Alligator mississippiensis: one gene and its partners. The protein of the gene in region 2 interacts with the protein of the main gene of each other region in a pairwise test. Links are inferred from orthologs where the notes say so. Each region holds a gene or a part of one and is shown on either strand. Other genes may lie near its edges.

Region 1 (8,091 bases), on a different chromosome or scaffold from region 2:
CAGGAAAATAATAAACATTGCTATAGTACTTGTCAACACAAGTACTATCATGCGGCAGTTATTTTCTGCACAGCAATGGATGTATTAGACTATTAACAGGGCTGGCCAGGGCACAAGGGTGCTTCAGTGTGGGAGCAACCTCCTGGCTACCCTCACACTGGAGCACCTTTGTACCCCAGCTAGCTCCTTCACAGCACATGGAGTCAGGTTGGAGCAGCCCTGGGTTGGCAGGCTGACCCCCTGTGTCTGCTCCAACCTGGCTCAAAGTAGAGCAGTCCTGGGCACGCATGTAAATGCGGTGCCTGGGAGCAATCAACTTTGGTGTGAACTGGGCCACAGTTTATTCAGACACACCTCGAGTAGCAGTCACTCTTATGCATGCTTTTTACACATGTAGGCTTTAACTGTGTTAGGAAAAATGGGAGGTGTAATTCTTCCCCAGGTATTCTTGTGCAAATTTATAGCAATGTACTCTTTCATCTCTGTCTAGGCTTCTTAACTGTCCTGGAACTTTGGAGTTCCATGATACCCGTTCTGTGCATCTTTATACAGGAAGAGAAACATATGGCCCACAGCGAATAACATGTTTTTGCAGAATGTTAATTGTACTAAGTGTAGTTTTCAAAATCTCACTTGCAACTTACTCAAGATTTATAACAGGATCCTCATAATAGTATAAAACTGTCTCTTATTGCTCATGACAGATGAAAACATAAAGAGGAACCAATTTTTGTATAATTTCAAAATATTTTTGTAATCTGACAATTTGAGATGATCAGTTTAAGGACATTATTGGAAAAAAAAATAAAGTACACTTGAGAGGGTTAATTCCTACTTATCTGTGTCAAATCTGATAGGGCTTTAATAGAGGCAGGAAATAGAGAAGGAAAAATAAATCAAGCAAATGAGAAGAGCCACATTCACTTTTTTTGTATTTTCCTGGATTTGTATAACTAACTAGAATGAGCTGTGCAATACTCTTTCAACTCTTTCTTACAGCTGAAGTACTAAAGGTATTTTATTAATATAATAATGTCATTTAAACAGCCTATTTGTAAAAACAACAAATGTCCATGAGCAATTATTGTGAAACATTGCTATTTTGCTTATGATTTTCTTTGTATAAGGTGGTACTGGAGTGTTTATAGCAGAAGAGGCTAAAATGGAAGTCCCATTAAATTTTCTTAGGAATTCAAAGGATAGAAATAATTTCTTACCATCAATTAATGGTGAAATGTATTAGACATGAAAACTGAGCCCTCCTTTTAAATGGTGGCTATCTTGCCCTCGGGCAGGCTAACAATCAGTTTAGTATGATTTGTTGACACTGGCTCCATGTAGGCCTTATCTAAAGAAGCTACCATGTTGGTTCAATATTACAAAAAGAACATGAACATATTGGCACGTCAGCATTTCAAAATGTTTTGTGTCAATGTGTTTGAGACCTGCTTTTTCAAATGATAGCTACCAACATTGAAAGTTTTGTTTCCTGAGTATGCTAATTTAGTAGACCCCCTATTACAAAGCACCCATAGAACGTGTCAAACTTTGTCTTAAATGAAAAATATTGACTTTTAATGGAAAAACCCCAAAAGCAAATATATTGAATGAAACCTGAAATAATTTAATTAGCAAATGTTGTCATGGTTCCTCCTGTTCACATTTTCCTTTGTAGGCAGGATTCTATGACATACCACAGTCTTTGCTTCTGATAAGAAGAGATGATGAATTATAGGAGTCTCATGACTGCTGGGTCCACCTGACCATGGACAGGCAGCAATATGAAGCAACTGAATTACACACCTTAGGAGACAATGTCATATTAGAATCAAAATATATTGTTTAAAATGTTTGTAATATTGGCCATAAAATAAAAACTTTTGTGAATTTGGTTATCCAGTTTTTTATCTAAAGATTGAAATCTTTGATAGAGGGAAGATGCTTTAGGGGAAAGATATTTTAGTCACAAACCCAATTTTCTGCTGACAAACAGATTTGGCACAGAAGCAGAGAAACTATTCAACTCATGAACAATGCATGCCCCTGGTGGCTGTGGGGACACAGTTGTGGCGGGAGTGCAGCAGCAGCGTTGGGAGTGTGGCGGTGGTAAGCACGGAGCTCCCACAGACACCGCTGGTGCTGTCAGTGGTGTGGGGGTGGTAAGCACTGACCAGGGGTTGGTGACTACCTGCAGATGCTGCCGGCAGTGGCGGTGGCTGCCCTCAGGCATCGCTGACTGCCCACAGGTGCCACTGGTGGTGTCAGTGGTGAAGGGGTGGCAAGTGGTGACCGCCTGCAGGTGCTGCTGACGGTGTTGGCGGCGCCTTTTCATAGAGGGTGCACCGCCACGCTTGGGAGGGTGCACGTGCACTCGCATGCGCTCACTACACGTTGCCAGTGATTCAACTGCTGGTTCCTGGTATATGGTTTGAAGATGCTCTTATCAGAGCTTAAGCATAGGTAGTTCAGAGCTACACTTGGAGCAGGAATTTAGGCAAGCAAAAACAGAACCTGAACTGGGAGCACAGCAGAAGCCAAGCTCAAGGCAGTACTCTAGAGGTAAAGTGAAGGCTTGGCCTTAGCAATTTTCTCCTGTGTCTAAAGAAGACCCATTAAACACAAACATGGCACTGATCTTGTTGCTGCTTTCATGGCTGATTCCTGAGGAAGGAGTGTGGTTAAGTTGAGACCAGGTTTCTTGTGAGCCATTTACTCAACCTGGTGATCTCATGCTGATGGTCTGGGTATACAGATATGGTACTTGCTCATGACAGCTGTAGGAGACAGCAAAGAAGTAGCTAGCTATACCTCTGCCATTTGTGCTCAAGATTGAGGGTGGGGAGGGGTGATTCCCCAAAACCTTTCCTGAAGAACATATGCTTCTATCTTTTCCCCTTGTAATGTATATTAAACTATTTCTTCTAATGTTTACATTTCCCTGCCCTCCTGGAAATGCTAGTATTGGTACATAGTCTATGGAGACCCTGTGCATGTCTGGGAGCCACAAGGCAAAGCCTGTTTCCTTAGATTTCTTATCCCAACTGACTAAAGTACAAAAACACACACAAAAATGCATAAAAGCCTATCCTTCCACTGAAACCTATCAAGGCCCAAATGTGGGACAGCATGCACGGCAAAGGTTTAGATGCAAGCACCTAAAACATTCCTTCATGCAGGAAGCTGAAAAGTCTTTAGGACAGGTCCTGTCCTGCTCAGTCCTGTCAGTTGCATGTCTGACTTTTGATGTAAACCATTTTGAACAACAGGGCTAAGCATGCGTGGGGAGGGGCTGGAGAGGAGACATCAAGCACCCCATGAAGCATGAGGTCATGGAAGAGGCGGTGTGTGGAAAACTGGAGCATGAACTGTGAAGATCCAGGGAGGAATTCATGAGTCTTTCACAGCTGGGTTTTATGAAAACTGGATGGTGAGTTTTTCAGAAGCACATGCATGTGTGCACATGTGTGTTCACACACACACGATGCACATCCACATGTGATCATCAGGGATCCTGGTTTTCTCTGATTTAAAAAAAATCCCCAATTTTTGGGTTAAAGAAGTAACCCAAAATCCACATCTTCCTGTGATCAAACCAAAACACTAATCCATAGACATATATATATAGCGGTGTTTCAGTTTGATCACAGCAAAATGTCGCTTTTTCTAACCCAAAAATTGGGGATTTTTTTTAATCAGAGAAAACCAGGATCCCCAGTCATCATGTGTACACATGTGATGCATGTACACTGCATGACATGCACACACACTCACACATGGCATGCCTACACACGATGCACATACACACATGATCACGTATACACACACACATGTACAAGCACCTGATCATGTCCGTGTGCGCACACGCACGCTTATGTGTGACATCCCTTCCCCCTCCAATCACAAAACTGCCTCAATGCAAGCAGCATGCGCAGGCGTGTTGTGTGTGTAATGGTTTAGGTTCCGCAGTGAATAATGGTCTAACCCTTATCACTACAGTGTGCACACGCGTGTGGACATGGTGAGGTTCACTGACTTGCCTCCCTGCTGTTAGACACCCCGGAGTGGAGTCCACCTCTCCATGTACTCACCCTTTACAGGAAGGCCAGGACTGGGGCTCTTCCCTCCAACCCCCCTCCCTTCCCCAAGCCCAGCTGTTCCCTTGCTCTTCTCCCCCTGCAGGACCTGGAGCCGTCGGAACAGCGCCCAATAGCACAAGATTTGCCCCGGTCGGAGTCAGTAGAGCGGTCAGCGGCAGCTGAGCCTGCGGTACCAAGGCCTGGGGCCGCGAAGCTACAGGGGGCAGCAGAGAGCAGGGGCGCCCTCAGACGCGCAGGCTCCCTCTGTGACGTCACAACGGGGCTCTAGGCAACGGGATGCGGCGCGGAGTCTTCCCTTTGTGACGTCACACCCCGGTCTCTAGGCAACGGGATGCCAAACAGCTCGCGCCGGGCCAGGTGTGGGGGTGCTCGGGCGGCAGCAGCGGGCCCCTCGGGGCCAGGGCTGGGGCGAGCATGGCGCTGCCGCTTCTGCCCGGGAACTCCTTCAACAGGAACGTGAGTGACAGCCGGGCCGGCGGCTCTCCCCCGCCCCCTTCACCCCCAGTCCCCGGCCGTATTGCTCCCGTGCATGGTCACTGGAAGCTGCGGCGACCTGCTGCTTGCAAGGCCTGGCTTCTGGGACCTTGTCAGGCACAGGCAGGGTGCGCGTGTGACCTCTGGGGCAGGGGGGTCAAGGGGCATGGCGGCTTTCAGCACCAGGTTGGCCCCTGCTCGGAGGGGATCGCCGAGCCCTAGGGAAGCAGGAGGTTACCTAGCCCCGAAAGTCAAGGAAAGTCCCCGTGGGGGTGCTGCCATTGCTGGGTTGGTGCCCCGAGGACTGACTGAAGGTGTAAGTTCATTCCCTGCTGTGTTTTGTGGTCACGGATGCTGCGATGCTATTATGCAGGTTTGCTTGCAGCAGGGTGAATGTGAGAGACCGAATGCCTGCCTGTGTTAGGCTTGCAGCAGATCGCTTCTTTGGACGGTCAGGGAAGTAGGTGCAGATGAGATCCGAGGCGCCAAACATTCTGTTCATTGACGGGGGTGCGGTTGTCTTCGTTGAAATCTGTGGCAAAATTCCTGTCATGCATGGACTGGACTAACAGCAGATATCGAAAGCAGACTTAGCTTAAATTCTGGAGTTTGCCATCTTTATTGTATTATTCAGGAGGTGAAATAGGAGCAAGAACAAAGTATTAGTGTATGCGGGTGTGTGTGCACACGCACGCATATATATACATACACATATATACGCACAGTTAGCTATTTCAGTCTGAAGTCAGTGGGATGGCAAGGCAGAGTGGCACATTATAGACTTAACTATTTCAGTCTATTTTAGTCTATAATTAGGTAGCCTATAAGGTGTCACTCTGCCGTGCCTTGTGTCTGTTATATATTGTTCTATAAGCACTCAAAAATTGCTTTTGTTTTTAAGTTGGAAAAGGAAATGCTTGGCACACAGGGAAGAATTGAGGAACTTAGCAGCTTCAACTCTTGTTATTTATATAACAAAGAAGAAAAGGAAGACAAATACACTGTAAACAGAGAATGTTTCAGAGTTAAACAAGTTAGGGATAATAATCCACAAGTTTGTAGTGTAGGTGTAGTGCCATAAGTACTTTTGACAATTTGTAAATCTATAAGACAGTATTTTTACAGCAAATTGTAAAATCAGAGTTGTTTCTCTTGTCTTGTGACATCTAGTTTAGAATATTTTGTAAAGAACTGGCTGGTGTGTATGTGGTTCCTCAGGTACCTTAGTGATGGGCCATGCATGGAAGAAGCACAGCTTAACCTAGTTTCTGATAGATAATATCCTGTTTTTGGTTTTTGAGCAGGATGCATAGAGTTGCCCCTTAAATTCTGAATAGAATTTTTGACAGCTGTGAAGTTTACATAGTCACAAATCTGACATGGTACTTAGCTTTACACACTAGAGGTCTAGATAGGGGATGCATACAAATGGTGGATGTGTTCAAATGCACATATATAAGTAGGCCTCTTTCTGCAGTCTGTGTTGTGAATGTATATATGCACACACACAATGCATATATAGTTCTGACAACTAACGATACAAAAACCAAGTCCCAGTTATAACAGTGAAACCAGATTAGGCTATTATTCAGAGCTTTAGTTCATCCCCTATTGTTATGCTTCCTACAGTTTGAATGCTCGGTAGTTGTAGAGAGGCAGTTCTACCTCCTGCTTCTGCTGTTGGCTGTTGGGCTTAATTTTTATCCATATAGTTTCACAAATTAAAGTCCAAAGAGGCCATATTCAAACAAACAGATGCTAGAACTATTTGGACTATGCCTACCACAGCTGCCATAACTTTCTCCATCTTCACCATGAGAATGGTAGATGCAGAGCAGCAGCAGAAGCAGCAGATGTTTTAGATGTCTGGAGGGCATTGCTTTCATACCGTAGGATGGAAACAAATGACATTTACTGCTACTACAAACCCTACCACCAGGCTGTGGATAAAACCAGCAACAGCAATAGTACTTCCAGGACAGGAATGACTGGTCTGGTCTTTGCTGCTCTTGTCACCCCCTGGTTTATTATTACTGCTGCTTTTTATGCTATTCCTCTTCTTGTTGCTCTGTGTATTGTCATTTAGTACTGCTACCATCACTTTTGCTGGTGGTACTGTTATTTCACTTGCTAAGCCAATGTGAAGGTCAATAGGAATGGCAGAAGGAGAAGCTGAAAAGTCTATTTTCCCTAATCTATACATGCGTAATCAGGAAATTTGTTTAATTGGGATTTCTCTCAGTGGATCTAGTTGAACTTTTGTGACAATTATTGGCAGTGACTCTAGCCTAATGGCAATCGTGACTGTGCTTGTTGGGGCCTGCAAAATGATTTTCTGGTGCTTAGGGCTTTGCGTCTTATTATAGTTTGGGTTCTGTACTTTTTTAAAATCTGCCAACAGTGCTCAGTGTCTCCTTAGCCATGAGACAGGCTTCATCACTTCTTGCTTCTTATTTTCATATCAGCTGTACACAATAGTCTGCTAAGATAGACATCTCACAGCTGCCTCTATTGCTGGCACCATGTAGGCAGCAGGTTTTGTCTGTGTCCTACTGTAAATAGTGCCTCCTTCCAACTTGGCAGCTTCCCAGAAAGCAGTAATTACTACTGAAATGGCCTATTTTTGTAATTGGCAATTCTGTTTAATAGGGACAAAAATCCAGCTGACTTGGGCATCTCAATAAATTAAGTTCAATGATTATATACCATGCTGATGGGATACCTATTAAAGACTCCAAGTAGTTTGTCTTGTACAGCTTAGATTCGGATGTCCCTTTTTCACTGGGTGAAGATCATGGGTGGCAGGGGTGGGCATAGCAAAAGCAGTGCCAGTGTGAATGTTTTATTTGCTGCAGAAAGGAGGAGGATTACAGCAGGCAGAAATGGATCAGGAGGCATCCAGAGCATGACACACTCCCTGGGCACATCTACATGTTCATTTATGTGCAGTAGTTACTGCACATTAAATTTAGTACTTGTATAATCAAGTACTAAATTAATGAGCAATAACCAGTGTTACTGTGTAGTAGTGCTGGCACATGCCTTTTTAGTGATGCTACTGTGCAGTAGTCTAATAAATGTTGCAGAGTCACTTGGAAGGACTGGATGCGTTTAAGTTGGCAGGCCTGGATGAGCTCCATCCGAGGGTACTGAAGGCACTGGCTGATGTCATTGCACAGCCACTGGCAAGAATATTTGAGCACTCATGGTGCACGGGCCAGGTCCCGGAGGACTGGAAAAGGGCCAATGTGGTGCCCATTTTCAAGAAGGGGAGGAAGGAGGATCCAGGCAACTATAGGCCAGTCAGTCTCACCTCCATCCTTGGTAAAGTCTTTGAAAAGATTATTAAGGCTCATATATGTGAGAGCCCACCAGGAAATATTATGCTGAGGGGAAACCAGCACAGGTTCGTAGCAGGTAGATCATGCCTGACTAATCTAGTCTCTTTTTATGACCAGGTTACAAAACACCTGGATGCAGGAGTAGGGGTAGATATTGTTTACTTAGACTTCAGGAAGGC
Region 2 (7,760 bases):
TTCCACTAAAAAAAGTTCGTAAAAATGTTATTTGAATAAGGATATGGTGGTAGCCTTTAATTCATGACAACGTCAAATAAGTTTATGTAGGTTTGTACAAAACAGAACAGAGGTGGGCTGATAGGGAAAAAAAGCTTCCTTAAAACAAATACAAACAGCAAGAGAATAAATTGTTGTGTGTATAGATGCTCTCTCCTCCTTTCCAAGCAGCCCAGAATGCACAGTAACCAGCTTGTGCATTTGCCTACTTTACAACAATGTTTCATCATTATATAGTCACAGATCAGTAAATCTGAAAGTCTCTAAATTTATGTTAAAACAACAGTAGTTATATATTTCTCCTTAAGGCTTCCAGTACATCAGCACTGGTATTTAAAAAAGTAACAACTTTAAACTACAAAAGCCCTCAGGGCTTGAAACATGAATATTTCTCCGTGCTATGGAGAGGGAGAAAAAAAAAAAAACACACAAAAAACAAGCAACAAACAAGAGATATTAAGCTTTTGAATAAGTACGAAGAATGCCTTGAATTTGAAAGCTTGTCTAGCTTTATCCTAACCACGAAGTTGGCCCAAGAAAAGATATCACCCCCCAAAATCCTTGCTTCTTACATAAGCCTGTGATTTAATATTTACATAATTGCACATAACAAAATTATGGATAAGTATCAGGCCTGAAAGCTTATTTTCAAATTTTAACCAGAATTAACTAAGCCTAACCTTAAATGTAACAAATTTTGCAACAAAAGAACTCTCTCCACAGAAGCCTCAAGTTTTAATGGCGAAATCAGAACCATAACTGATACTACTAGCTTTAGAAGAGACCTCTGCAGACACTTTTTACTTTAAACTTTTTGTATAAAATTCTGGTTGCCTTAAAAAAAAAAAAAAAAAAAAAAAATGTTCTTAGTCCCTCAAAAAACCAAAACCAAACCAAAACAAAACAAACAAACTAGAGACCAGAAACACTTGAAGCTGTTTAACTTCCAACTTTATGCTTATGATTAATCATGGATAATCCAAACTACTATGGGAAACCCATTTAGATAAGACTTCATTTCTTTGTGACATACATATAGGAGTTGATGCTAAGTTCTAGAATATGAATAAAATGTTTTCTAATTTTCAACAAATTCCTAGTCCAAAAGTAAAATTGGACCCCACCCTTTTTAATTCCCACCTAAACCAACTACTGCAATTACAGGTCTGAAATATTCTAAAACATATCTGAAGACAAACTACATTTGTTGACAATTTATTCTGAAACTAGCATCTCCCCAGTTTGGATCAGAAGACAGGCTTGTCACGTCAGATAGAACTGCTCAGTTTGTAATCTATGCTTCTATTTTTCCTGCAGCTGGCAGGAAAATGCAGCATATTAAGCATTACCAGTAATTCCTTTCTAGATGCACCACAATCAGTTTAAGGGAAAAAAGTGTACTGAAATGGAAAATTAGACACCTGCATATCACAGAAGTTAGCCACCCACACTGGAACAGAAGTGCTACAAGGGGGAATCTGACTTTGTCTAGGTATTTATATCCCCTTCATCGTGACAGATTCCAAATGCCCGCACGAACAAGACTAACCTCTTTGAAATGTCAACCATGCCCTCTATGTTTACAGAGTGCCAAGCATACTGTTAGTGCTCACTAAATAATAATCCAAGAACATCCCTTCACAGGGAACATCCCTTGTGCCCTCTCCCAACACTACATTATAAAACACCAGCCACACCCACCCGTGATGTCACCAGCATTACACAACCTGTCCCCCTCCATGCCCGGACGGCTTATGCAACTAGGCCCAGCCTGCTGGCAATTGTCTTGGTGACACCGGTAAGAGAGAAAGTAATTTGGAAACAAGGTAAATAGAACAGCCACTGTCCAACAATGTCCACCACAGAAGTGGGGGAGACTGATGTGCAAGACGACACCTGGCTGCCCTGCTGCCCCAGCCCTGCTTCCACACCACCAATCACCAGACGCATCCCTTTACATAAAGCCAGAAGGGGCGGTGGCGCCTGCAGGCAGCATGGGAAGGGCCAGGTCTGGGAACACTGGAAAACTTGGGCTTGTCAGAGAAAGCCCCTCTGTTTTGAGAGACAGTGATAGGCTGGGGGAGAAGGGGGTCTCAGACATGACAGGGGCAAGGGGGGGGGGAAGAAGTGGGGGGGTCTCAGACATGAGAGGGCAGCAGGGGGAGAAGAGGGGCATGGACATACAGGTCAGCAATGGTGGTGAGGAGAAAGGGGGTGCAGGCAGGCAGGGATGGTCGGGGGAGAAGGACTCAGACGAGGGGACAGCGCTGAGGGGAAGGCGGACTTGGGCACGACGGGGCAGTGTGCGTGTGTGCGTGGGGGGTGCTGGGCACCAGCCCGAGGCCCGGGGCCACGCTACCCACCTGCTCGCAGCGCGCGGCTGGCGGCGCCCAGCGCCTCTCGGAAGCGGCCTTGGCCCAGCAGCTCCGCCAGGCGCCGGCGGCCCCGCGCCCGCTCGCACTCGGCCGGGAACCACTTCTCTGCCAGCTGGTTGAGCACGACGTTGATGCGCGGCGGCGGCGGCGCGGGCAGGCGCTCGCGGCAGCGGCGGCAGCGGGCCCACAGCTCGCGGCGCAGGCAGCGGCGGCAGTAGCTGTGGCCGCACGGCGCCGTCACCGGCTCGCTCAGGAAGCCCCGGCAGCCGCAGCAGCGCAGCGGGCCGCCCGCCTCGGGCCGGCCCCGGCCGCAGCGCAGCCCGTGACGCAGGCGGTAGTGCAGCACCAGGCAGCCCACGAGGGTGTCGAGGCGGCGCGGCCCCGGCGGCGGCCCGAGGCGCAGCGCGGCCGAGTAGGTCTCCAGCGCTTCCTTGAGGCGGCTGCCCAGCGCCAGCAGGTCCCCGCGCCGCAGCAGCAGCTCCTGCTCTCCCCCCGCCTCCGCGCTGCCACCCGGCTCGGGCTCGGGCTCCGCCTCGCAGCTCACGGCCACCGGGGGCCCCGCCATCGCCGCCGGCCGCTGCGGCTGCCCCGCGCGCGGAGCGGCTCCGGCTGCTGCTGAGGCGGCGGCGCGAGGGGGGTGTAACAGCCCCTCGGGCGGCGCCAGGCTCTGCTGTGCGCACGGCACCGAGGGGGAGGGCGGGGCCGCACCGTCGTCCCCTTTTCAAACGTCTCCGCGGAACCGCCGCGCCGCGCGCCCCAGCCCCGGCTTACATAAAATGCCGCGTCACGTGACGGCGCGGCGCACTTCTCATTGGCTGCGAGCGGTGGCGGCATGGCGATGGGGGGGGGTCGGGGGACGATTACAAAACAGCCCCACGCGCCGCGCGTTCCAGAAGCGGTGGGGGCGGGGCCGGGGAGTGGGGCGGAGCTACACGCGGGATGTCTCCGCTCCTCAGCGCTCGTCACGCGGAGCCTGGGGCTGCGCTGGGCTGGGAAGGGACCTCGGTCCGTCTCCTCCCGCTCCCGTGTCTGAGCCTTCAGGCCCGTCTCAGCGGAACATGGGACAGCTCCAGACAGGAACCGGGGGCCCGGCACGCGCTGCCGGGCGGGAGGGAGCGCCTGCCTCAGAGTTCAGCCTCTCCCGCGTGAACTAAAGGGCACGGGATGGTCCCGCACACACGCAGAGGGGCAGGACAGCAATGCCCCGTGCCTTCCCAAAGGGAGAAGGGACAGTGTAAGGCAGCCGTGCCCCATTCCCCTGGCGCGTAAACACACTCCCCCCCCCCCCCCCCAACGCACCAGTGCCCCCATCTGTCACTCACACACAAGGCTGGGGCAGCACAGGGCAGCAGTGTGCTCAGGCCGGACAGCTGGCAGCAACAGCAGCACATTGGCAGTGTAGCCACAGTACAGTGCTCTGTAGACACCATGGAGAAGGGGAGTTTGAGGGGAGTCTTTGAAGGTGGGGGAGGGGTCTTGCAGTCACTTTGCAGGTGTGTGTGTGTGTGGGGGGGGGTACTTTCCAGGTGGCTCCTGGGAGCTGGACTCATGGGGCCCAGTGAAAACGAGCCAACAACTCACTAGGGGATAGGTAGGTAGATGGGTCTCCAGAACAAGGGGCATTTTATGCAATAGACAAGAGGGATGGGATGGGATGACAGTCAGGGAAAGGATCTTTGCAGTGGCCTTCTGCAGGGACAGGTGCTGCAAGATGCCTGCTGTCCAGGCTTCACCCTTCATGTACCACTGCCTGTGGGCGTCCCAGGCAAAGACTTCATTCCTGTAAAAATCAATTTTCTCTTTATTAAGAGACCTACTTATAGAGGGTGTGCACAGAAATGATGTATGCATGTTTTACAGCACTGTAAAAAGTGCACTTTTTTATAGCACTATGAAGTTACAGGACTCTTAAACATGACAGAAGTGCAGTGTTTGTGGAGGGGAGGAGCCTCTCCCTACTTTCCAGGTTTGGGGGTAAAGTGGGGCTCTGCAGCCTCCTGGAGCTTCTCCATTGGTCAGAAATTTGACCATCTTACAGAAGTTATTTAAAGCACGTTGCTAAAGTGCTGTACAATACAGCGCTTCAACATTAATACCTCATTTAACAATGGTTAATTTAAAGCACTGTACCCATTTCTAAAGTGCTGTAAAGCCATGCACTTCTGGTAAATCATGGCAATAAAGCACTTTAAATGATGAAAAAAGCAACTTTTTTACACATCTTTGCAACTGCATGTAGCTACACTGGCTGCCTGGTTCTTCTTCCAAACTGTTCCTTTCTACACCTATCCTCTTTACTCCTAAATTCAGTGCAAGGTACTAGAGCCAGAAGGAAACAAATGTTTCATTCACTACATTGTTCAGGATCTCAACAGCTCACATGAGTTTTAGATGCATAGGTGGAGAGGCAACTACATTAAGTCCACATGAAGAAAAGATCTGCATGATTTAGATGATGCTTCAATGTGAGGACCTAGAAAAAGGTCCAAGTTGAAAATGATTCTCAGATTATAAGGTTGGGGGCGGGGGATGGTTAACTTGAGAGGAAAAAGATTAAGAGCTCTATTCTAATACAGTAAAAGCTGTGTTATCTGGCACTCTACCATCTGGAATGCTCTATTAACTGGCATCTGTCCCACCATGGTGCTTCCAGTTTTGCCACCGCAAGCTGTGTCCCACTTCTTCCTCATGGACCATGGCCCGGGGCAAAGCAGCCTGTGTGGGTCCCCCTCCCTGTCCCCCAACACACTGACACCAAGGAGTGAAAGTCCTGGTGCATCAGACATGGCAGGAGGGGTGGCAGCCCAAACAGGCAAAGGCACCTCCAATCTGCTGGGCTGGAGATAAGTATAACTCTCAGATAACTGGCATGTTTGATTAACTGGCACCCCCAATTTCCCATGGGTGCCAGATAACAAAGCTTTTACTGTATTATAAAAGCCTAAGTCTATCCATCTGTCTGTCTGTCTGTCTGTCTGTAACGTTTTATTCATGCTCTGATTGGCTGACAAACAGTCAACCAGAGTGTGAAGAAGCATTTGGACAGATGGCAGCCTGTCGCCATGATGGTAGGGACCCAGGGGACAGAGTGGGGGAGGCAAGGCCAGCACTGCTGGCCTTGCTCCCCCTGCCCTGCTCCCTGCTCCCCTCCTTGGAGGTAATGGCAGCGGCAGTGGTGTGGGGAGAGGGAGCAGGGTCGGGACACCATGGGAGGGTAAGGCCACCGGCACTGGCCTTGGCCTGCCCCTCCCTGCTTCCATTGTTGCTGCCTGCAGGGCTGATGCAGTGGCGGTGGGGGGAGGAGTGGGTGTGACGTGCGGGGGAAGGAGTTGTTTTTGCCTCCACCCCACACACTCTGCCTCTTGGAGCTGGTGGAGTGGGCCGGACCCCAAGTGGCAGGTGGTGTGGGTGGGTAGTGGGCCTGAGCCAGTCATGGTGACAGGGAAGGGAGGAGCGGATATGCTCATGCTCCTGCCCTCCCTGTGCTGCCATGGTGGGGAATGGGGCAGTGGTCCCAGACCCCAAGCAGAACTGGGAGGAGCGGGCCTGGGCCCGGTGTGCGGGGCGGGGACGAGGCCCATCATGGCGGCGGGGGGGTCAGAAGCAGGCCCAGGCCCATGCGTCAGTGGTGGGGGGAGGGGAGAAGCAGGCCTGGGCCTGGGTCTGATGTCAGAGATGTGGGGGAGGATAGGGCTTGAGGGGGGTGGAGAAGCCAGCCTGCCATGGCGGTGGGAGGGGGGAGCAGTGGGCCTGGGCCAACATAGCAGTGGTGGGGGGAGGGGAGGACTGGGCCTCCTCCTTCTCTTGGGCCCCAACCCACTTCTCCCCCATCCCCACTTCTCTGTGTTGGCCCCAAGCCCGCTTCTCCTGTTTCCTCCCTGCCACCGGGTCAGCCCGGGCCCCCTGCTCCCCACAACCCGCTGCAGCAGCCCAGCTTCTCCCCACCCTTGGCCCCAGTCCTTCCCTGCATCAGGCCCGGGCCCCAAGCAGCAGGAGGGAAGTGGGGAGTGGGCCCAGATGGGAGGGACTACGATGACGAATGACACGGGGCTCCATTCCCACCTGCTCCCTCCCCCATCATTCTTGATGGGCAGTTGGCTAGTTTTATGTATATGGAGCTTGAGCTGTATGCTAGAATTCCACAAGGAGCCAGAAAGATAGGAAGAAATTTTAATTTGGAGAGGAGACAGGTCTAGAGTAGAGTCAGATTTGTGAGTCACAGCAGAGAAACGGTGTTTGTTTCAGTTGCAATTACCCATAGAAAAGGTGCAGAAGGAGAAGAGAAGACAGAGTTCTGTGGAACCCCACATTAAATTGGGGAGACAAGAAAGATTCTCTGAGAACACACTGAAAAACTGATTAAAAAGGTAGGAGGAGAACCTTCCATACTTTTTAGGTCCAATGACACTTATAACATCTCTTGTTAGCATTTCTTTTTTCTGGGAGGTCTGGAGCAGAAGTGTTTCCATATTTCCTTGTCTACAAACAAACAAACAAACAAACAAACAAAGAGGAGAAAAATCAAGGAGGCCAGGAATGATGAGTAGCAATAAGCAGGGAATGTTATTTCTTGCTTTCTCCAAATTATTACAAAAAAGCCTTCCTTAGTTTCCATGCTGCTTACTAGAAATGCTTTTTATGTTGCTCTTTTTACCCCCTTTGTGCTGCTCTCTCTACATTATCCGTTGCACATACTCTTCCTGTAGGATTCTCTTTGAAACCTAGACATCAAAAAAATCCCCTGAATTCTTTTTTTTTTAGTCCAGGATTACATTAACAAACAGCAAAGTGATCTTCACTCTACATATATTCCAAGTGCCTGCAAAAGAGAGAAAACCATTACAGTAACTTCAGCACATGGATCTATTCTGAGATGTATGGCAGCAACATGTTGAATGGTTGAGGAGAGGAAATTCTATGACCATTAAAGTGTTTAGGAATAAGATGGATTAAGATGCAGGTGACATTCCAGGCTGCATTTATAATACCCTTATTTTCCCATATCTTGTATAAAAAACAAAAAGCAAAACGGTATGATTTTATAATCTTGCAGTGTGTTACTTGCAGGATGTGATCACTGCATATGAGGGAAAGGGGGCAGACATCTATTTCCTGGTTTAGATACCACTTCTCAAGCAATAGGAACAAAAATGATCATTTCCTGTTGAAAGTTCAGATGAGCAGTACCAAGAACCCCTCCCCCCCATAGCTTTTCTTTTTCTGAAAGAGACATAGATAGACTATGTTTTGAGCATTCCTTCCAGGTACTTCATGATGGTTTATATGAACCTTGACAATTCCTTATTAAAAATAACATATCTGTCAGGTCTCCAGCTTCACTGGACA
Region 3 (8,854 bases), on a different chromosome or scaffold from region 2:
GAAGCTGAATATAATATTTAAGTGAGATTATGTCAACATATGATCACAGAAAAGGTCAAGAAACTAGGGAATGGCCTTGATTCAGAACTAAGCAGAGCTATCTCACTGTGAGACCTCAGAGACCTCATTCAGCATAGATAAAAAAAATGGGCTAAAAGAAAATGAAAAGCAGAACTCCCTGGTAGAGAAAAGGAGCATCTCTGAATTTCCCGTTGAAGACTGTTTATCGTATCATTCTGCAGGAGGAAGTAGTCTTTACTCTTGAAAGAATTAATTGAATTTTGGTCTCTGGATCCTACAGATTCTCATGCAGGCCTTTTTCCTTCAGAGGGCTTTTTGTTGGGTCCTGTGTTGTGATGCCACACAGCTGAAAATGGACCCTTTTTACCTCTCCCCATGACCATCCACCAGCTTTTTATTCCTTCTGACTTCAGGAGAATGGAGAACAGTTGGGCACTGGAAATCATATTTGAGTGTCTCTCTACCATTTATATGATATGCAGCAAAATATTCAATAAGTGTAAATAAGTGGAAAAGAAAAATAGGAACCTTTTTTAAATTTTGCAATAGCATTGAAGAGGGCACCAGCCTCCCTTGAGCATGCCACTATCAAGGGCAATGTCTCATGGTCACTGTGCAGTGAGTTCTTGCAGTAGTCACAGATTAGCTCATGGTCATCTACACAGTATTCAGAGATAGGTGAACTGGAATGTACTAAACAGTTTGACTGTTCTTGATCTTCTTGATAGGCTTTGGTAAAAATGTGCTCTTGAGCAGAATCATCTCTATGATATAAACTGAGACATTCTTTACAAAAATTCATTTGACATGTCAGACATCTTTTGGATGCCTTTCTTTTCTTCTCTTTGCAAGCTTGACAATAAATTGATGTCTGAGTTCTGTCAAATCTCCACCTGATAAGGCCATGTTTCTGCATATATCTCTTAGCCAGTTTGGCTCTCAGTAAATTCTTCTTCAGCTGAATTTTATTAGAATAGGGAAGGCAATGTGCTTTGTTACACACTGGGCATATGAGAATGAAAAAGTTCTCAGACACTTCAGCCTTGGCCCTCCTTTTACCTATGCAATCCCCACAAACACAATGTTTACAGGGAAGCATAAATGGGTGGAGGTACAGTTGTTTACACGCTGGACAGGTGAGTTGATCACGAAAACTATGCCCTGAGACATCCTTGTCCAGTGTAATGACAGATGTATCACTTGTAGTTCCAGGGCCTGGTAAAGACAGCCTTGAACTGAAAAAGAAAGAAACAAGATCTTCTCAGCTTCCAAATGTTCATTAAGAAACAGGCTGTAATATATATATATAGCTTTGCATTATTTACTGAAGATATCTTACACTTTAAATATGGGTATGATCCTCTATTCCCCCAGTGAATACTTATGAATAAGCTTTTTGACTGTCTCTACTTAGCCAATACGTATGAAACTATCCATTTCAGTTCCAGCATTTATATTGCAAGCATTACACAAACTAACACAAACAAACATCTGCATTTTGTTTTCTTATTCCTTATTTATAACCTGTGTATTTCGTTACATTTTTATAAAGATATGATACAAATAGATAGACAGGAAACAGAATATGCAATAAGCAGATAGTTCATTGGGAATGAGCAGAATAATGGATTTCTGGGAGGTTTGGATAGCAAGCAGGAGGAAAAAACCTAAAGAATATTTTTTCCCTCATTTTGGGATTTCCCAGCATTTTGGGATTATTTTTGCTTTAAAATGGGAAAACCTGAAATGTTTTGATTTAAATTGAAATGTTTTGCATGATTTTTTTTCTTTCAACCTGAAATGAATTGGTTTGTATCATTTTCAGGATATCCTAGTTGTTTTTTTTTAAATACTCCATTTTATTATTACTATTGTTGTCAGTTTTTAAATGAAGAATGTTTTGCTGAAAGTAAAAGTCAGAATGTTTCATTCTGAAAGTATTAAATTGAGAGTTATTTCTTAAAATACATGCTTTAATTAAAAAATATCAAAACTTTTTTTTAACATTTTCAACTTTTTTTATTAATTATAGGTTTGGTCTGTCTGGAATTGCATTTGTCAGTAAACTTACTATACAGTGGAGAAGAAAAGAAAACCCCTTGCCTATCTTCCATCTCCTGATTTTCATGCACAGCTTTCTTTTTATTTAGGAGGGTGGTAAGAATTGGCCTTCCAATGTGACCCTGGGTACTGGTTCTAGATTTTTAGGGTTAAGACTATCAAAAGTTGCTTGTAAGTTTTCTTGCACTTGAGATACACAGCTTGGAATGCCACAAAGTTACCCAGTTTTCAGAAATGTTGACCATTTATAGTTTGAAAGTCAAGGCTATTTTAATATGTCTCCAGTCAGGTACACAAAAATCACTATTCATTTTCAAAACTGTGACCAACTGTCTCCATAAGCTATTCTTAAAACTGCGTAAAAAACATCATGCACAACTAACAGACACAATCCCCAAACTGCCTCACTTGCCACAGGTAAAGCTCGGGGACAAAGGGCACTGTCAGTATCCTGCCACAACAAGCACAGGAAGTAATTGTTAAACACAAGACGGATCCAAGGAAGAGGGCCTATGGTCCCTGCTATAGAAAGAGGTATGGAGGGAGGTAACCCCCATCCACTCCACATACATGCAGTGCCCATGCTGAGCTGTATGGTAAAATTCCTTTCTGATCTCAAATGTGGTGATTAGTCTGACCCTGGGTTGAGGAGTAAGACATTCTCACTATGAACCTCCAGGATTTTTAGTCCCAGAAAAAAGCACTGACACAGTCATGTATCCCTCCATGTTTGAGCAATCCTCCTCCATCCTCAGCCTGCCTTAGTCAGTAGTTATGTCTCCATTTTAATATATGCTCTTCAGATGAATCTCTAAAATTAGTAATACTTTTTTTGTAATATTATTTCTTCTTCCAATTCTCTTCAGAGCACTTTTTAAAAAATATATTTGGTTTTCTTCCTCTTTCTCTTCCCCCTAACTATAATCCTTTCCCTCATTTACAATTGATTAGCACTTTACTCTCTTTAGTAGTCTACTTTGTTGTTTTCTTGGAATACTCCACACTTTTTCCTTTCCTCTTTCTTGGTTTGGCTCAGTCTGGCATTATCACTATTTCCAGCCATGTCTAACACCTTGAGAAAAAGGTGCCCAAAATTTTGCCCCTAAATTCCACAGAGCTAATAGACCATAATATAAATTTAAAAAGAAGGAATTTCAAAAACAGGCTTTGGTTTCACTTACTGATTTCTCCTTGGGATTCTTGGATGGTATGGTGAATGGGCAACATTTCTGCAGCATGTGCTTTCATAACACTGACAAACGGTATTCTCATCGGTGGCACAGCAGCAACACTTACAGTCTTCATCAGTTGAGAAAGAGCAGCAGCACCAAATACAATTTGGGTTCTCTGAACATGTGCAATGGCAACACTGGCAAGATCGATCTTCATGGTAAGCGCAGGGAAAACAGTTGCAATTCCGCTCTTCAGTAAATAAAAAACGCCAACATAAGCAGCATTCTTCTTCTTTTGTTAAGATCGGCGGACAGCAATGGCAGCCTGGACAACATGGCCAAAATAAGCAACATAAGCATAAAGTCCTGGCCATCACCCTGTAAGACACTTAGAAGACCACTTGCCAAGCCTTTCAGCGTGTCCTCACTTTATGTTACACAGCAGCACTCCCCTCTTCAAAGCTTTGTGCTTTGGAGGAGAGGTGGATTTTTTTTCTCTGGTTAGAGACTAATAGTGACATCACAAAGAGATTCCAAATAAGGGCATGAACATGGCCATATTTGCACATGTACATTACTCACTTGATTATCTTTTTATATCACAGTTGCTAAGCATTGCCTTTCAGGTTTCTTCCACTGGCACTAAACACTAGTATATCTAAGCTGGCAAATTCACGTATTGCCCCAACAGCCAATGCAAGTTATGTAGAATTCTGGAACATGTTGAAAATTTGGAAGCAGCGTGAAATAAAATGAATTTGATATAAAAATAAGTAACAATTAATATTTCACTGGTTGTTCAAGTTCATATTTAATATGTGCAAAATATTACATATTCAAATCACATGCCCCAGAATTTCTTGTGTGCCAAAGAATCCCTGGGGTTTTGATGAAAATTTTAATTCCACCTTACCACAGAGAGAACATAGAGACTTTTCGCTTGCTTCCTTCGTGGTGGGAGAAAGACATTTTATGGAGTCTTCTCTTTCTCAGGGCAGGTGACCTGTTGATACACCCTAAGAAACAAAGCAGTGTTGGTTTCTACTTTTCTACCTCACCTACTTCCAGATTCTCCCTGTCCTTTTCAGTCAGTGATTAAATAGCTTCAAAAGGAATACATGATAAAAGAAATGCTATCTGCTTTTGCAGAGGAGACACTTTCAGCATTTATCCATTTGTATGATCCCCATTTATTTCAAGAGCTCATTCAATGCCTTATTTTGAAATTTGTTTTCTATTGGCCTAGATCCAAGAATAATACCACAACTTACTTTCCGCCGTGTCACATGTATGTGGCAGGAGGTGCATCAGATCCCATTTTGCTATGTTGCCAGTGGAGGAGGAGCCTGAACCAGAGCTCCCCTTGCCTCAGCAAGTAGCAAGCATGGCTTCAACACATCATGTACATGGTGCACTTCCAGGCTGGGAGCCCCAATCAGCTGAGGTGCCTCCCAGTGTCTGGAGCATACAAGAGTCTTGACAGGCTCCCATGTGCACTAGAGGCTGGCCAGTGGCCACACATGCAATTAAAGGCATAAAAAGAACCACCCATAAAATTATTACACATATTTTATGTAATCATTTTGTGGCTTGTTCCTGATTTTATCATGCTATTAATTTATTGAACGTGTGGCTAGGTCACTACTTAAGACATGATTAACCAGTTAATCATGTCTTGCATGTAAAATCTCTCCAGGGCCTCAGTAATAGTATGTATCTACATTTTCCTTGGCCAGCTTCTTTTTCTCCTTGTATTCACTTCTCCTTTAAGTATTCTATTGGCCAAAGCAGGATGTCTTATAATGTGGTCAAACCAAAATTTTATATTTTCCAACATCAGCTGTAATATCAGTTCTCAGCTATGAGCTGAATACCTGAATCAGCTCAACTATGAGCTGACACTATAAGCTGAGTATCTTTAAGAGCCATCTACAGCACTTTGTTTCAAATGCTTGCATGCACGTTTCTATAGCTACATTTCAGGTGCAACTTTAGACACCAAAGCTTAAAATATAGATTCTCCAAAATACTGCTCAGCTGCTTTCTAACTTTTGAGTTGCCTACAATGTGAAAGTACCTATATTTCTGGTACTGAAGCTTCCTAGAAGCCTAAAAGTCTTCTTCTGGGCATGCCCAAGAACACCTCAGGCTTGACAATAACAAGTGGCTCAGTCAGCACCTATCTTAGGCATAAATCAGCATTCATGAACTACAAGTTCCTTTGCTTCTCTCACTAGTAGTCATTCTCAGAGTACACCTTTTGTATCAGACTTCTCCAAACTAGCCATGGAGTCACTGATATGGCCCCTCTATGAAAATTACTGTGCTAGAAGAGCAGGAAAGAAAGTGAGTATGATACCTCTGCCTACTAGTTAGGATACTCAGCAGGGAAAATTATGTTCTATTGAATATTTAGCATAAAATAGGTAAGTCAGGGGCTCACAGGACAAAGGAAAACCTTGGGTTCAAGTTTTTACCTTACTGAATATTTCACTATATTATGCTAAATATTTAGTAGAGCAGGGGCTAGAACCCTGCTCTCTCCTTCTCTCTGAGAATGATCTATGTGACTGTAGTCATTTTCCATCTCTTTTCCTAGTGCATGATATAATGGAAAGTGGAATAATTTCAACAGGACTGTACCAGAGCACCTCACTCCCAGCCATCCCAAAGTGCCAAAGAGGTTGTTAATTAGATTATTATTTTGGGAGGATTAAATCCTCTCAGGTAGACTGTCCATTGATGCTGATATTTGTTGAGGGATTTGACCAGGATAGATTAACCTGTACTGATGCAGCTATATTCCTTCTGGTTCCCATGGTAGACTAGCTGCCACTATACAGCATTGCACTGCAGCGTGATGAAGGAGATCAGTGCTTATGATCCCCATACCTCAGAAGTGGGATCCACATTTTCCAAAGAGATAAGCCATGTACCTTTTTGAAAGAGGCAGGTTTGTGAGGCGGGGAGAACAGGAAAATATTTTAAACTGATTATATGTGAAGCTGTGTGATAGTCACATATCTTCCTAGTCAGTAATTACTGCAAAAGCATCCCTGTAGAGCCAAGCACTGCCAAGCTTTCATAAGACAATGGGTTTCTCTTGAACAATGTCTTGCACTCTCTCCTCTAAGGACTGACCAAAGGAATTATCTGAAAGTGATATAACAGGGTTGCACTGGCGCCAACCCTCTCTCATGGTAGTCTCCAACAGTTTAGGCATAGAGTTTTTTTAACTTCACTGAGATTACATCAATGCAATGTGATACAGCATTTTTCACAGATTCTGTGCTCATTGGTTTGTATTAGCCCACTTCAGACATTTATAAATCTTTATCTTCTCAAATTTAAACTATACTGTTTACTTACCTTAGGGAGTGGAAAGGAAAACATAAGGGAAAAAGTTAACTTAAAACATTAAAATTGTATTGGTGCCTCACTTGAAAGCCTCTAAGCATCACACACTAACAGACTGATACACTGATTACTACAAAACTATTGACACCAGTTACCACGCAGTTGCATTTAGGGTTGAGTACTTTATTCCTCAACTCAAAACTGAAAATAAGAGTGACCACTGTATGGTAGCTGTTGGTGAGTGTTGGCTTTTAATGGTGATCACTGTACTTACTGTAGGTAATTAAGAGTTTCTTTAAAATGCAAAATATTCATTAGCTTGGGTTAATCGGTTAATGCCTAATTTGGGAATTATTAAGGCACGCATCTTGGCATACTTTATTGTAACAGCTCCTTTGTAGCCATTAGAGCCTATATGCACAAAACCTACTCTAGTTAGAGAATTTTTAATTCCCTGATCCATAGCCCAATAGACCATAATGGCTCAGTCATTATAGGCGGCCATTTACATGATGGACCATAATAGAGCCTTTGGAATGGTTATGGGCTATTGTGTCAATGAAGTAGAAGTACTACGTCTGTGTATGAAAAATCTTTCTAGAATATTTGAGCAAAATAATTTATTGCAAATACTCAGACCTTTAGTAGCTGTGGGTTTTTACATTTTATTTCCCCAGGTTCCTTTGATGGCTAAGCTTTCTTTTCTCTTCTTTGTGCATATTTAATTTAGAAAATTAAAACACTTTTGAATTCCATGAGCATGAAAGCATATCTTGTAATACTAATGCTTGCTGCTTTTTTCAGTCTTATAATTCAGATATTCCTAAATAGATATTTTAAAAAAGAAGGGAAAAAAAAGCAGCTACTCATCTTACGTGTCAAGTTTCAGATCAAAGCAAAATCTTGATATGACAAGATTTGATTGCTGCAACCAACTCCTGGATATTTATTTCCCCGCTTTCTAGCCATCTTTCATGCCTGTCATTCTGACCAAGATTCCCCATTCTTTGATTCTCTGTAATACATTCTCCTTCTCTGCTGCATTATTTCTCTTGTCTTTGTCTTCGGATATATTTTTCACTGTTTATCTTCATCATCTTTTATTGTTCTACATTGTGATATGCCAGTGATGATACCTTTTCTGTTACCCTGTTTATATGCTGCTTCTCCAATCTTCTTTCATTTTCTTGTTTCTTATACTCTGTGTATAGACTACACTGCCTTAAGACCTTTGCTTTGATATGCAGCAGGTTTAGAGACTGACCCATTCTTTTTTATCCACGTTTGTTCACCATTAGCAGATACTAAAACATCTAATCGCTCCTTTTGCCAGAGCAAAAATTACAGTTTTTCAGCAACATGGTTTGGCCAAGAGGCCACTTAATGATGAAAGTGCACAGCAGTTAAACTATGATTTTGTTGGTTTCCCCAATTCATGGGCTTTACCCTGCAAAGTTCCCATAGCTCCCATTGGCTTCACAGAGGCACATTCATGCTAGAGCCCTCACGTGCTTTTTGTACTCCTTTGATGTACTCCTTTGTACTCCAGAGATGGGCAGATGAGAATAGGATGGAATTCAATGCAGACAAGTGCAGGGTACTTCATCTAAAGAGAAGGAACCAGCAGCATACCTATAGGCTGGGAAACATCCTTCTCATCAGCACAGAGGTGGAAAGGGACCTTGGAGTCATTGTTGACTCCAGGTTGAACATGAGCCGCCAAAGTGAGGAAGTTGTCAGTAAGGCTAGCCGTACCTTGTCATGCATCCACAGATGAATCACAAGCAGGTCCAGGGAGGTGAGCCTCCCCCTCTATGCAGCATTGGTCAGGCCGCAGTTGGAGTACTGTGTCCAGTTTTGGGTGCCGCACTTCAAGAGAGATGTGGCTAACATTGAGAGGGTCCAGAGAGGGCCACTTGCATGATTAGACATCAGGACGTATTACTTTACAGTTAGGGCGGCTAGGACCTGGAACCAACTTCCAAGGGAAGTGGTGCTCACTCCTACCTTGGGGGTCTTTAAGAGGAGGCTGGATAGACACCTGACTGGGGTCATATGACCCCAGCATCTATTCCTGCCCAAGGCAGAGGGTCAGACTTGATGATCTGTTGGATGATCCCTTCCAACCCTAGCTACTCTGATACTGTGTTGGATCCCCAGTTCTCAAGCAAAATTAGCATGGAAGAACAATAAAAAGGTTGAGGTATTAAGTCCTGCAAGAATACAATTTCAATTTAACTTAG

The links.
Region 1: the proteins of LONRF1 (region 2) and EFHC2 interact in binary tests that used the Homo sapiens proteins (3 or more experiments, as listed by UniProt). The two-hybrid records come from large-scale screens. The link is inferred for Alligator mississippiensis from reciprocal best matches to the Homo sapiens genes LONRF1 and EFHC2.
Region 3: the proteins of LONRF1 (region 2) and TRIM42 interact in binary tests that used the Homo sapiens proteins (3 or more experiments, as listed by UniProt). The two-hybrid records come from large-scale screens. The link is inferred for Alligator mississippiensis from reciprocal best matches to the Homo sapiens genes LONRF1 and TRIM42.

Annotation. Positions count from the first base shown.
Region 1 is NC_081824.1:302,538,693-302,546,783, forward strand, and holds the start of EFHC2 (EF-hand domain-containing family member C2), read left to right. Parts: upstream 1-4,351; 5' UTR 4,352-4,511; coding exon 4,512-4,553; intron 4,554-8,091. UniProt on the Homo sapiens protein: Microtubule inner protein (MIP) part of the dynein-decorated doublet microtubules (DMTs) in cilia axoneme, which is required for motile cilia beating.
Region 2 is NC_081825.1:61,427,477-61,435,236, forward strand, and holds the start of LONRF1 (LON peptidase N-terminal domain and RING finger protein 1), read right to left. Parts: upstream 3,185-7,760; 5' UTR 2,980-3,184; coding exon 2,403-2,979; intron 1-2,402.
Region 3 is NC_081830.1:46,934,306-46,943,159, reverse strand, and holds the start of TRIM42 (tripartite motif-containing protein 42), read right to left. Parts: upstream 3,741-8,854; 5' UTR 3,629-3,740; coding exon 3,264-3,628; intron 1,257-3,263; coding exon 550-1,256; intron 1-549.